2 linked regions of the Canis lupus familiaris genome follow. The protein of the gene in region 2 interacts with the protein of the main gene of each other region in a pairwise test. Links are inferred from orthologs where the notes say so. Each region holds a gene or a part of one and is shown on either strand. Other genes may lie near its edges.

What was found.
Region 1: the proteins of CCDC102B (region 2) and SPG21 interact in binary tests that used the Homo sapiens proteins (3 or more experiments, as listed by UniProt). The two-hybrid records come from large-scale screens. The link is inferred for Canis lupus familiaris from reciprocal best matches to the Homo sapiens genes CCDC102B and SPG21.

What each region holds. Positions count from the first base shown.
Region 1 is NC_049251.1:29,777,048-29,783,610, reverse strand, and holds the end of SPG21 (maspardin), read left to right. Parts: intron 1-1,267; coding exon 1,268-1,408; intron 1,409-2,813; coding exon 2,814-2,930; 3' UTR 2,931-3,536; downstream 3,537-6,563. UniProt on the Homo sapiens protein: May play a role as a negative regulatory factor in CD4-dependent T-cell activation.
Region 2 is NC_049222.1:9,360,634-9,369,279, reverse strand, and holds the start of CCDC102B (coiled-coil domain-containing protein 102B), read left to right. Parts: upstream 1-3,240; 5' UTR 3,241-3,248; coding exon 3,249-3,316; intron 3,317-8,646. UniProt on the Homo sapiens protein: During interphase, forms fibers at the proximal ends of centrioles to maintain centrosome cohesion. During mitosis, dissociates from the centrosome following phosphorylation to allow centrosome separation. Contributes to CROCC/rootletin filament formation.

The sequences.
Region 1 (6,563 bases), on a different chromosome or scaffold from region 2:
TGTGGTTTTGGCTTTTTTTTTTAATCATATAATTATTTTGCCTCATAAGTGGATGTATTGCTAAAATCAAATAATATTTTTAAGAATTGATTTTTCAGGAAATTACAAGCATGTAAATTATAACTTCTAATTCTCCACTGTAATCTCTACATTCAAAATTTACTATGACACAGAACAAGCTTTTCGGTACTCTTGGTAAAATACTTGGTCCTCATGGTACATTTGCTCTGCTTGCCCATCTTTCAAAGCTGAGCTCACCACTTGGGTATGTGGTCACTGAAAACTGTATGTAAGCTTTAGCAAGTTGGAGATACTTTTTGAGTGTGTGTGCTTCATTTTAAATATTATTTTTTGAAAACTTGTTTGCATGTGTTTAAACATAAGTTTAGGGGCACCTGGGTGGCTCAGTTGGTTGAGTGTCTGCCTTTGGCTCAGGTCATGATCTCAGGGTCCTGGGATCCTGATCCCCCTCTCCCCCTGCTCATGCTATCTCTCTCTCTGTGTCTCTCAAATAAATAAAATCTTTAAGAACAAACAAACAAAAAACAGGTAAGTTTATGTGGGCATTAGAAGATGTCTAGAATCATATACTCCAAACAGCTAACAATGGCTCCCCCAGGAAAGGATCTGGACTTTTTCTTATACTCTTAAAAAAAATTTTTTTTTGGAATTTTTTTTCTGATCATATAGTACTTATGTAACTGTTTTTAAGTAATAATAAAATTTAAAAGGTTTTGGGGGGATCCCTGGGTGGCTCAGCGGTTTAGCACCTGCCTTCAGCCCAGGGTGTAATCCTGGAAACCCAGGATCGAGTCCCACATCGGGCTCCATGCATGGAGCCTGCTTCTCTCACTGCCTGTGTCTCTGCCTCTCTCTCTCTCTCTCTCTCTCTGTGTGTGTCTCATGAATAAATAAATAAAATCTTTAAATAAAATAAAAAGTTTGGGGGATTTCAGTGATCTTTTTGAAATGAATTGGCATTCACTATTGTTCTTTTAATTTAGTTAGTTAGCTATGTTTAAGGGGAAAAAATTCATGATAAGAATTTTCCCCCCAATGAATGCAAGAGGTGTTTGACAACAAAATCTGTAGCTTATGTTGGAGTTAGAAGTTACCAGAGATGAGCAAGTTACCCAGGCTGGCCAGGGGTTCAGCGGTATCTCTTCACTAGAAAGCCAGAAAGAGATGCTTTGGAAGGCACTTTCCACAATGTACAAAAAACCTACTAAAACACTGGTAGGTTACAGCTTTGTGTTTTTTTTAAAAGGTATTTGACCAGAGTGCACTTTCAACTGAAGCTAAAGAAGAAATGTATAAACTGTATCCTAATGCCCGGAGGGCTCATCTTAAAACAGGGGGCAACTTCCCATACCTGTGCAGAAGTGCGGAGGTGAATCTTTATGTGCAGGTAAGTCCCAGCTTGGGAGCCGGAACACTTTGAACCCAAAGTGTATGGTTTGAAACATAAAGCTTTTTTTTTTTTTTTTTTTTTTTTGGATGGTGGAATAAGAGACTACAGAATTCTCTGTAGCAATGAGTCATTCACTTGATAAAGGTGGTTTACATTAATAATTTATAGCAGAAGCCAAGCGGGTATATTAGAAACAGTTGAGTGACTCTGCCTACCATCTCTTTTCTAAGAACAGCAGGCCTGCATCCACACATACTGAAGTGGCCATGCCACATGATGTGACCTTGCCTCCTGGATACAGTGAATTCAATCAGAACAGGAACCTTCATTGAAGCAACTTCCTGATCCATTTTTAACACGTTAAAAAAAACACACGCAGGAGTGCCTGGCTGGCTCAGTCGGAAGAGCATGAGACTCTTGATCTCAGGGAGTTGTGAGTTCAAGTCCCACATGGGGTGTAGAGATTACTTAAATATAACTTAACATATACACACGCACGCATGCACACAAACTAGCAAAAGCTGCCACTTCATCTTCTACCCAAATGGATATTAAAATAGCAGTGAGAGGGCAGCCCTAGTGGCTCAGTGGTTTAGTGCCGCCTTTGGTCCAGGGCGTGATCCCGGAGACCCAGGATCAAGTCCCACGTTAGGGTCCCTGCATGGAGCCTACTCCTCCCTCTGCCTATGTCTCTGCCTTTGTCTCTCTCTGTGTCTCTCATGAATAAATAAATAAAATCTTTAAGAAAAAATAAAATAGCAGTGAGAAATTATTGCTTTGGCAGTTCGGTAGGAAGTATCAAGAGCTTCAAAAACCAGTCACATCCTTAGGTCCTGCCATCTATTTGTGGCATGGATCCTAAGGAGAAGACCCTAAATTCAAAAAAACCTGATGCCAGGAGACATTGATCATGATCTCACACAGAACAGCAGAGGATCGGGGGAGGACCTGAGTCACAGCAGCAAAGCAGGAGGGTAAACACCCACTCACAGAGTGGTGTGCCACCCTCTGAGATGTTGATGAAGAGTTTATAGGAACTTGGAGAGACCTGTTATATATTAAATAGGGAACAAAGATCCCACATTGTGGTTTTTCAAAATACTTGACTTTTCTATGTTTTCCAGTTTTTCTCTAATTACATTATAATTTTAGAACTATAAACATTTATATGCTAGAGCACCTGGGTGGCTCCGTCGGTTGGGTGTCTGCCTTTGGCTCCGGTTGTGATCTCGGGATCCTGGGATCAAGCCCCATGTTGGGGCTCCCTGCTCAGGGGGTGTCTGCTTCCCCCTCTCCCTCTCATCTCTGCGCTCTCTCACTCTCTCAAATAAATAAATAAAACCTTTTTAAAACATTTATGTGTTACTGTGACATTTAAAATAATGATTCTGTGTTTCTACAGATCCATTTGCTACAATTCCATGGAACAAAATACGCGGCCATCGACCCGTCGATGGTCAGTGCTGAGGAACTAGAGGTGCAGAAAGGCAGCCTGAGCATCAGTCAGGAGGAGCAGTAGCTCTGTTGTCGCCTGTTGATGATGAGTGATCCAGAGAGTTCTTGTACAATCAGCTGCGTCAGCACCCGCCAGGCAGGCTCTGTTCAGTTGTCAGGCTCGCCAGTCATCACTGTGTTTGGAAGCAGGACTGATTGTCATCTTTGTGACAGGCGGCAGCTCTTCTAAGCCAGTGTGACTGTTCCCTCTGCATTTTTTTTTTTTTTTTTTAGCTTTTGAATTTGAGGAAGTACTTTTGAAGACTCTCACTTTAAGAATTGTGAAAATTTTGCTACCAAAAGTCTTCTCACCACTGTGTTCTTAAGAGAATGTTGATTTTTGAGGTTTGGGATTTTGTGGAGTTTTTTTCTTTTCTTTCCTCCTTTCTTTCTTTTTATGATATTTGCTGTAAATGCTGCACATCCAGATTGTGTATCAGAAGGACATCGGTTATTTTTATGCTTTCTTGGTTATAACCGTTATCAAGTGCCAAGGCTGTCTGTCACCCCACCGTTTGCTCTCCTACAAAATCAGCTACTTCTAATTTCCAGTTAAGCAGATCATTTTCAGTTTTATCTGTTGTCTTTCTAGCCATTACAGTCATTTGGAATAAAAATTCAATTTCAGTGAGTGGTTTTGGTGATTATTGTAGCTGCCCAACTGGACTGCATAGACATAGGACTTTCTGCAAAGCAGACCATGGGGTCATTGGCTAGTTCTTGGTGACATCAGGTAAGTGACTTACTCTCACCAAAGTGCAGTTTGCTCATTGTAAATTAACAGTAGCTCTCATTTATTGAGCTGTTAGTATGTGCCAAGTACTTTTCATACCTTCTTGTCTTCCCCTAGTGGGAATGTCTCTTAAATCTCTTTTAAACTGTAAATTATTGTTTTTGTCTTGCCATGAATTTGTTGAAGAAACAGGCTCATCTGCCCTGTAGAATTCCCCCACGGTCTCGATTTGGCTGATTGCAGCCTCACAGTGTCCTTTAACTTGTTTCTATGTCCCTGGTATTTCCCATGAACTGGTGGTTACATCTAGAGGGTCAGTTTCACATTCAGTCTTTTGGGCAGGAATACTTCATAGGCGAAGCTGTGTGTTTCCCATTATGTCACTGCAGGAGGCCCAGAACATCTGCTTGTCCCTAAGTTGTGAAGATTGCTCAGTAGATTCAGACGTTGTCAGCCAGATCCAGTCAGTCATTGGGGAATTCCACTGATGGTTTGCCTGCCACTGCTCATCACTGCACAGATGCACTATGTCATTAGAGGATGCAGAGCAGTAACAAGTAACTCTAATTTTTATTCTATTAACTAGAGTCCTCGGATTTAAGAATCTTCCCCTCATCAACTATTTGGTTTCACTGGGGTACAATTTAGACCAGAAAAATCAGCATCGATGCTTCTTTCCCTTTAAGTTTTCAGAACTTTGAGTTAACCATACTATTTCCAGTTTCATGCCCACCACAACCCTGGTTAGGCTGATATTACAGGTGAGATCATGGAAACAGGGACAAGAGATTTGTTCAGCATCACACAGGGAGGGGTGGAGCTGGCATGGCAACTTGGGCCTGACCATCCCTAAAACCAGTGATCTTTCCATGTAGGTTAGTGTGTGCTCTACCTTGTGACTTGAGAACAGTCTGGAGTTATGGAAACACCTGGTAAGCCATGAAGGTAGAGCTTTAATGTTTTTAACTCTTCGCATCTGAGGCTCCTTCCCAACCAATAGGGAACTCCTGTGGGCAGGGCCAGGCTGCACATGGTCAGCAGCCCCTTCCTTACCTGGTACAGTGGTGAACTGTGGGACTACCCTCTGCTTTCTTTTCAAATTCTCCCTGAGTGAGCCACTTCCTCCGACAGCTTCAACCACTCCCTGGCTCTAGGACCTGATGACTGCCATTGCCAAACCCAACTGATTCTGAGATGGCCTTGAATGCCTAATGGGCCCATCAGGCCAGCCTTCTACAGGCACACCCATGTCCCCACTGCCCAAACCTGCTCCTTCTCTCTTAGACCCGTCCTCCCCGTTCCCAGCACCACTGTGCCCCCAGATTCCCCAGCTAGAAACCCAGCCACCCCCATCTCCAGGTCTCAGGCTGAAGCAGATGCCAAGGTGAAACTTCGAGATGAGCCAGGTGGTTACTGAGGATCACAGGAAAGAGGTGTGGAAGTAAGCAGGGTTGGGCAGGGGAGAAGCTGAGCTGTGACAGGCTGACCAAGCACTGGTGGACCACGTAGGAGGCTCTGGAGCTACGAGTGTCCGTTGGAATCGTCTCATCAGGGGCTGAAATAGCCAGGCCCTCCTGCCCCTCCAGCTCATCTCTCCTCTTCCTCCCATGCTTCCTGTGTTCCAACCATACCATTCCGCAAGGAGATACAGCTCCGCACCGCTGTGCCATTGCACAGACTGTGCTTTTTGCTTGCAATGTGCTTTGCCCACTTCTGTCTTCTCTGAGAGCTTCTCAGACCTTCCTCCCCTTCCTCCTTCCCTTCCCCAAGGAAGAACAAATCCCACAGTTCTCCCTACACACACATAGCAACAACCACATGACAGCGCCTCACTGGGGTCCCAGCTCCTCCACCCCCCAACATCACAAACTTCCAGAGGGCAGGAACTGTGGCCACTCCACACTATAGTCTCAGCTCCCAGCAGACTGCCTGGCACGGAAGACAGTAAATATTGACTGGCAGTGGTGAGCCGAGTGGTATGGTTACACAATCAATCCACAACAGCTTGTCTGGCTTGAAATTTTGCCATACGTCTCCCAAACAAAAGGAATACGGAATGTGAAAGCTATATTTCAACATTTCAATTTTATTTAAGAACTTGTTTTTGTCTCAAAAAATACAAAATTCATTCCACAGAATTCATCCAAATAAATGGTCCTGTGTGATACAAAATACATTTCCTAAATGGAATAAATGCAAGAGAAGACTCTTCCCCCGCCCCCCTCAACAAAGCACATGCTGGAGCGCCTGGGTGGTTCAGTCAGTTGAGTGACTCTTGATCTCAGCCCAGGTCTTAATCTCAGGGCCATGAGTTCAAGCCCCACACTGGGTGTGGAGCCTACTTAAGAAAACAACAACAACAACAACAACCCAAAACCATAGCACATGCAGAGGAAGGACACGGAGGTTCGTGTGCCACCCCTGGGGGTCTGAATCTGGCTGTGAACTCTGAGGCCTCAGGCCTACAGGTTACTGCCTGTAAAATAGGTTGGTTCCAAAGCCTCTTTTTCTTTCTTTTCATAAGCTTTAAGTGGTTTTTTTTTTTTAAGATTATTAATAGGAACAGTTTTAAAAAAAACCCTGAGCAGGTTCCCATGCACCCCTCTGCACAGCATAGTTTCTGCTCTATTTCTTTGCATTAGTGTTAGTATAGCGTTTGCAGGTTTATCTGTAGGATAAATACCTCCTGGTGGGATTGCTGGGTCAAGGGGGAAGTGCATTTGTAATTTTGGCAGATAGAATGCCAGCCACCTTTCAGAGGACAGTACCACTGTGTGTGAGCTCCCACCATGCATAGGTGATGGCTGCAGCCCCTCTTAGCTCTAATGTCTTTTATGGTCTCCCTCCCTCCCAGGACTCAGGCCCAGCGAGTAACTCTGTGGGGAGTTTTTCCTAAGACGTGGGCTCCTAGAGTGGCCACAGCAA
Region 2 (8,646 bases):
GCTTGCCATACTTTTCCTGTTTTTTAAAAAATAACTATACTAAGCACAACTCAGGTAAGAATTTCAACTCTAAATGTAGACAGTCATAGATTATGTTTATATTAAGACTTTGTTTTGTAGTTCCAAATGAATATGAGTTAGTCAATGTGTTTGGAAGTAATCTATATTCTTAGAGTTTTAAAAAAATGCAAAACTGTTATGCAAACCCTCATATTTATGCTTCATGCATTCAGAGTTATTTTTATTTTGATTGGATAGTCCTCATGCTGAATTTCTGTTATTGTTAACAGAAAAATATACCTCAAACTTGGAACTAATATTGATTTCTTTATAGAAGTTACCTGGGCAGTATGGAGGAGATAGGGACATAGAATGAAATAATAAAAATCCTGTACATGATAAAAAAGAAATGGATCTTTATATGGGAAGTAATAGTAGAACTGAAGGGAAAAAAAGATCTATGGAAACCATTGGGAAATACTTGTTCATGTTTTCCACAAAGATAAATTATAAACTGAATATTGAGTGGTTAAGTCTATTAAATAGAAATATAATGAAGATATTATTTAAAAATAGAAACAAGTAACATATGCAATTGAAATACACAATGATAATTCTTAATATTCTCATTTATATCAACACTAGTTTTTTATTTTTTGAAATCATGCAAATACACTTTTGCTAATAGCTTTGTGGAATAGGGTACTGTTACAACTTTTGACTGAATGCCTTGTTTTTAGTCATTTTTGTTGAATATCCTTGCATATACATTAAACATTTCTGAATTCTGACTTTTATGCACATTTTTAAATAAGCATTAGATGAAAAAGCAATCTTAAAATGCTAGAAATACAGTATCTGTGTAATTTTCCTGTGATTTTGTAGTATTGACTTAAGGGATCAATAAATCTATATGAATGACATTTAGAAAAATGCTATATGTGGATTGCTTTTTTGGAAAACTTTAAAAATTTAGTTTTCTTGTAAAATGACAGATGATATAATTTTGCATTCTTCATGTTTTTATTGGGTTCAGTAATTGCATGATCACTAGCATATAAGCTTCCTGGTGCCTTGATACAGTTGTGGTCTTGAAATTTATGAGGTTTTCCTCTAATTATTAGAGCCACAAATATAATGATGATAATTCTTTAAAATTAAAAATGATATAAGGACAGCTTCTATTTGAAGAAGTACCATTTCTCCTGGGCTGATACTGCAAGGTTAATTGAATTTTTCTATAATGGTAAAACCTTCAAAAATCTTCTTCTTAGCAAGATTTTAAAGAAGCCTTGAAAGAAAAGTCCTGCTTCCCGAGCTGAGTCTTAAAAATCAGTGGAATGTAGATAGTTGTTGAAAAACAAAAAGACCGTTCTACTTTGTAGTAGTAGTTGGAGCAAAGAGTTTTGAGGCATGAGCTATGAGGCTATGAACCTCATTGGAGAAGAAGAAAAACTCACCATTGTGAGTAGCAGACATTGGGCTCAAGAGTGAGACAAAGTTGTGAAACACAGAGCACTGTATACTCTGAATATACAGAGTAATTTTGACCCTATATATTGTACAGTGAGGGTGATTGCAAATTTCTGAAGAGATGGGGAGTATTTATTCTTCTTTGCTTTGTCATCTCCATCATCATCATCATCATCATCATCATCATCATCATCATCACACTACCAGCAAATAATAGCATTTCCTATGTGTAAGGTAATTTACATACGTATCTACAACTTTGATAGTTGCTTAATAGAATGAAATTCATATCACATATCTTCATTTTACACGAGGAAATTTGATGTTCCGAAATGTAAATGATTTCTCTAAAGCCACAGATATAGTACGTTCTGGAGCTAGGTTTCCAAATAATGTCTTTCTGGCTCCAAAGCTTTTCCACTCTGCTCCACTGGTATTTTAGGAATGTGAGTCTGGCAGAAGTTGAGCAGAATGGTTTGGGATGGCGTTGGGGTAATAGCGTGCAGGGAAGAGACAGTGAGACGACATCCGTAAATCCAAGCTAATCACAATTCTCTCAGGTGGTCCACTCTTACTTTAGGGAATAGACAGAAGAAATTGATACTGAAAATAAGCAGTTTTTATACTTAAATTGGCGATTCTCATATTCAACACTTAGGCTTTCCTCTCTTTTATTTTCTTGAACATTGTATTCAAAGAAGATGTCTTTTGATTTCTCAGAGGAAGTTTAATCACTGATTTTCATCAAATATCACATATTCATAAGAGAAACGCATGTGGTTATTGGAAATGATATTGGGAACACACTGGCGTTCTTTTGTTTGTTTATGATGAGTGATATGAATGGAAAGACCCCATGATTATCATGTAAGTTTTATTTGAATGGGTGAAGAGCATATATAAAATTTATGTTGCTAATAGACAATGCAGAGTACAGTACATCAGTAGTAAAAAGAATAAGCCCCATTTAACATTTTTCCTCGTATATCTAAACTTTAAATATATTTAACTTTTCTCTAAATAGAATATTTTATAAATATATATTATAACTATATATATATAATAGTGTCTGTGCTCTCATTTTAGAAATGTACGATCTACTGTTTTAGAAGTTTATTGTCATTTAAATAGGCTTTACTGGAGTAATGCCTTTTTGCCATATGCCCAAACAGCTGAAGATAGTTGTAATGTAAAGATTCATTCCTTTAAATATATCATTAAGAAAACAATAAGTATACTTGTCAGCTCAAATACTTTCATCACTGACCTTAGGTTAGGACATTTCATTTTAATTAAACAGATCTAGGCTGTTTTCCAAGATTCTATTTTATAGAGAGTCTTTTACATGTTCAATACCTGGTCCTCAGTGTTTGGTCCTCAATGCCCTGATCAACTGTTGATGCACAATTGTTATCAAGTATTATAAAATAGAAAACTGGTTATCTTATAGGAGGAAAGCAGCCTATCAAAGAGAAGATGGGTTGTGCTCAATACCATTCTATTAAGGTCATAGCTTTGCAGATTACTAATATTTTTATATATTTAAATACCTGAGTGACTTGCATATGATGATATTTACTATGAGTTGCTGTTATATGTAGAAAAGATAAAAGAATATTTGCTGTTAAAAACTGATAGAAGGACTTTTTTTGGTAGCTGAATACAGAAGTACCCTTTTGAATAAAAAACATATTCATTGCAGAGCTTTTAAATGGTATCCTATAATCCTTGTCTTTAATTTGTAGAATTAAAGCCCTCTTCCCCCCAAAAAATAGATGTGCTGGAGTACTACCATATCAGAGGCAGACCCACCAGAGCAGAATGAAGAGCACCATTCAGAGAGGTAGGAGGAGACCCATGAAAGAGGAGTCTTTCAGAAGCTAAGTAAATGAGTCATTGCTGAAAGATGAAATGGCCAAGTTATATAAAATGCTACTGAGTGGTCAAGGAAAATAGGAGTTAACTGTTAATTAGATTTTGCAATACAGAAGTTATTGATTTTCTGTTTTTGCAGAGATCTAGGCTTAAAAACTGGTAGAGTGAGTTCAAGAGAGAGTGAGATGAGTGAAAATATCTTCTAATGGTTTTTACTATAAAAAATATCAGAGAAATGTGATGGTCCCTGGATGGAGATCAAGATGATTTTTGTTTTTCAGGTTGAAGATATTATAGCATGTCCCCTTTGCCGATAAGAATGACTTAGGAGGGAGATTTAATTTTATTAGAAAGGAGAGAGAGAACTCTATTTGTAGGAGTTAAGTCTTTAAGTCAGCTAGTGGGGATTCAGATGGAACCTGCAAATGGAAAGTTTGACTTTAGGGGCAAGGATGATGTAGAAAGAGGCTGAGATCAGGGTTACCACAAGGCTGATAAGTGTGGTAGAGCCAGAGAATGGTAGTTGTCTTTTGATAACTTTTTTTTTTTTTAAAGTGAAACAGAGGGAAAAAAAGAATAACTTCATCAAGAAAGATGGAAGAGTTAAGGAAGAAGATGGGTGGAGTTTTGGAGAATGGGAAAGTGAAATGATAAGGGAAATGGAGTAGGGTTGGCTGTGCAGTGCTAAGGGCTGATGTGATATTCAGAATCAAGAATTGAAGTGAGACCTGAAAGTAAACCATGTTTTCTCTAAGTATTAGCAGATGCTCAGGTAGGTGCCTATGTGGAACAGGCAGATAGTTGAATGCCAACCAGAATTGGAGTTTTCTAGGCAATAAGGTTAAGAGAATGCCAATCTAGCTGAGCATAAATTGTTAATTAATGGGGCTTGGAAAAGGGAAGGAGTATCAATATGAAGTAGGTAATAAATGGTTAAAAGATAATGGGATCAGTTAATAGGAGGTCCAAGTTAGGTCAAAGAAGAGAATTTTGTGGACCACAGAAGGTAATCAAAAGGGTGCTTAACATGGAAATGGAAGAAATGCTGTATGGTAATAGTATCTAGGGTATATACCAGCCAGTGGGTGCATGAGGTAGAACTATTGGAATTGATAGGAACGGAAAGATGAGAATATTGTAAGGATACTGCATGTGAAAATATTTTGGACATGAAATTAAGTTTAGTTCCATTACAACCAATTAGTACCACCCTTGGTTTTACTAGATACATTTTATTTCTTATTAGTAAATGTCTTTGAATTTACTTAAATGGGAAAACAGTCCTGTTATAAAAATACATGGAAAAACATGGTGTTTTATATGTGGATTATATTATGGTAAGAAGATAAATATCCACAAGTGGACACTAATTTTAGTACCCATTCCCATGCTGAGACTAATTTTGTTCATAATTTCCTCCACTTACCTTCTTATTTTTTTAATGCATCCATCGCCTCATATAGTTACCTATTTATTTATTTTTTTTAACTTTTTAAAAAATTTTATTTATTTATGATAGTGAGAGAGAGAGAGAGAGAGAGAGGCAGAGACATAGGCAGAGGGAGAAGCAGGCTCCATGCACCGGGAGCCCGACGTGGGATTCGATTCCGGGTCTCCAGGATCGCGCCCTGGGCCAAAGGCAGGTGCCAAACTGCTGCACCACCCAGGGATCCCCTATAGTTACCTATTTAAAAATGTTTAACTGAAGTGTAGTTGACATATAATATTAAACTAGTTTCAGGTATACAACGTAGTGATTCAGCGATTCTATACCTAATGAAATGCTCACCAGGATAAGTGTATTATGATATTATTGACTGTATCCCCTCTGCTGTCCTCTATTTTTAATGATGTTTTGCTTGGTCTTACAGACTGTATTAGAGAAGGATCTTCAGGGAACAATAAGATATAGACATAGAATTTTTCACATCTAACGAATTGTAAGCCCATAATTTTTCTCGATGTTCATTATATTGCCAAAGTTTTGGATAAAGATTAAATTATATTTGCAAATGATGGTCAGAAACCATGAACTACCTTTATTTTAATATTTAATTTTTTTTTTCTAAAAGCCAGGCTGTCTAAATAGCTTAAAATAAATGGGATTTCTTTTAAACTTCTCAGATGAGAACGTGGAACAGTCATATCCAGTGTTTTGAATCATGGCCATTTTATTTTGATGTGACTATTGTAGCATCTCCTCTTCTACATTATGTGACCATGTGGCAGAGAATGAAAATGTTCTGTTCATTTATATTTGAATGATAGCTATGATGCTGATGTGTATTTACATTATCAATAGAATGCATTTTCAAACATATATTTGAAAATAATATTATTAGCAATCATCTTAGTTTGATGCATAAGTGAGAAGCCTCTGTAAGACAGAGATAGAAATTTTGTGAGAACACACTGAACATAAGTTTGAAAATTCAAAACAAAGTTTTCTATTTCTGGAAAATTCTCTATGAAAAAGAAAAATCCTTAAATTTTTGGGTTGCTCTAGAGTAGAGCTATGCAACAGAAGTAGTGTTCAAGCAACCTTTACAATCTGAAGTTACATTTAAAAAATAAATGTGGGGCACCTCAGTGGTTTAGCACCACCTTCAGCCCAGGGCCATGCTGGAGACCCGGGATCGAGTCCCATGTCAGGCTCCCTGAATAGAGCCTGCTTTCCCTCTGTGTCTCTGCCTCTCTCTCTCTCTCTCTCTCTGTCTCTTATGAATAAATAAAATGTTTAAAAATAAATAAAATAAAAATTTAAAAATGTGACATAGATTTTAATAACATATTGTACTTAACCCAATATCTTTAAAATATTACCATTCTAAAATGTAACCAATATAAAATTAATGAAATAGTCTACATTTTTATTTTCCACACTGTGCCTAATTTAGACTTAGAGTACATCTCAGTTCGGACTGCCTTCATTTCAGTGGTTTTCTAGCACCATCAGGCTTGTGACTATCCAGTTGGACAGCACAGACTATTATACTCCGGAATATAAATAATTACACAGTACTCTCTTAGCAGGTGTAGGTCATGTGTAGGGCATTACATTTATCTCCTTGTTGTAAATGGAGATAAGTGTTTGAGCGACCTTTCTAAGGAACAAATTTACCCCAGGTTTTCTGATTCTGAATCCAGTGCTCTCTGAGTGCCACTCTCCATTCTGATGGTGGTTATGTTGCTGTATTTATGTTATACTGATTCTGAGAAGTGTGTACAATATGGTGGCCTCTGGAAATAACTGGTACTAATATGTTCTACCCTTGCTGTAATTTAAAAAAATCTAATTGGCGTGAAAAGTAAGCAGTAATAAAAATGATCAACTCAGGACACTTGGGTGACTCAGTGGTTGAGTGTCTGCCTTTGGCTTAGGGCATGATCCCAGGGCATGAACGAGTCCCACATTGGGCTCCCTGCATGGAGCCTGCTTCTCCCTCTGCCTATGTTTCTGCATCTCTCTCTGTGTGTCTCTCATGAATAAATAAATAAGTAAAATCTTAAAAAAAAAAAAAAAAGATCAACCCAATTTTAGGATTCCACACATTTCTCAGTTTTTCTTTTCTTTTCTTTTTTTTAAATAAATTAAGTGAAAGAATCAAATCTGGTAGAACAGAGAGATAGAAAAAGTAAAAATAGAGGTTTGGAGGAAGATTTAAAACTGTGGCATTATAGGGATTATTTGAGAAAAAGTTGAAAGGAAATATTTATATGGCTGGGAGGGCAAATAAAAACATAGCAAGTTTTCAGAAATATAAGGGTTTAATCTGGTCTTCAGCTTTTTGCAGTTCTTTGCACATGTCTTACATTTTCTATTTTAGGGGCTGGAAAGCAAGATCTCTTGAGAATTGTAAACACTAGCTGTTGACTTCCTGTTGTTTTGACATTTTTAATCCAATTCCTGGTCTTTACCAGGGGATTAAAACACTATGCCTACAATACAAACAGATAAAAACTGATTTCAGATCAATTAGCAATTTGCTGGGAACTCTGCTTTTTAGTTAAATTGCTTTACTCTTTAGTGTTAACTTCTCTGATGCCAAAGGGCAAACCCCCAAAATATCAACACTTAAAAAGATGATAGATGATTGGAGACTCTTTCTAAACAGAGTACAAAGACATTTTGGCTAAATGGAAAATGTATGGACAGGAAAAAAGTTTCATTAGCATGTATAGTAACTAATCTTGAAATCAAAATCTAACATTACACTTTTTAATATTTCATGTCTTAAGATTATAAATTACATTTTCCCAGTGAAGTCAAGATTTTAGATCTCATTATTACAAGAGGTAACAAGTATTATACAACCACAAGCTTTGTATTTCTGGACAAAGTATTTTCCTCCAAATAATGTATCTGAAAGAGGATTACTTGTTTTATTACATTAAAATTGATAGAATTGGAACAAAATATATGATTTATATCAATTTACTCTTAGGAGAGTCCATAGAAATGTAATGAGGCTATAAATCTAATGCCAGTAACTAAGATAAAAAGTCTACATTTTCTCTAAAAATCAACATATCATCAACTGCTGTTCTGATAATTTTTGGTGATATATATGTATATATTACTATTTCTCTTTTTGTTACATGATATAAGAACATTCAGTTTTAAAAAATGTCATTGTTTCACCTTCACTTTTTTTAATATTATTTTATTTCAGTGTTTCTGAGTATTAGAATCTTCCTTACCAAGACAAAAGAATTGATTTAATATCTTCATAGTACTTTAAGGGAATGTAGTACTATAAGTGACTATGTTTTAACTATATATGAAATCAATTTTACATATCCCTTTTATATTTTTACCATTTATGTCACAAGAGATACAATGTACTTTCTGGAACTTATGTTTCTCCTATTCAGAGGTAGATAGCCTTGTGATTTCAAAGTAGATTAGTCATGTATTTTAATAGAAAACATAGTTATGAACCTTGGGTAGATCCATATTCACTAATAATTTTATTTTCTCAACTTCCTCTGCAATCACATTCATAAAGACTTATAATTCAAGGTCTAAACCTGACCTGCAGAAATTTGCAGTTTCAAGGACTTAAATGAGCTCCTGTGGTATTACGCTTTGAACACATTGCCATGGGTGGGTGGAAGGCAGCTGGTTTCCTGTTTAAAATATTTTTGAGAACTTTTAGAAAGTTCAGTTCATTCTCAGCTCACAGTTCCTTCATAAAAGAAGAGTTGAACGTTTATAAATATTTATATTTGTAAGATTAATCAGGAATATGTGATTAAACTCCAAAAATTGGGTTAGTTTGTTTGTGTTATAGTTTA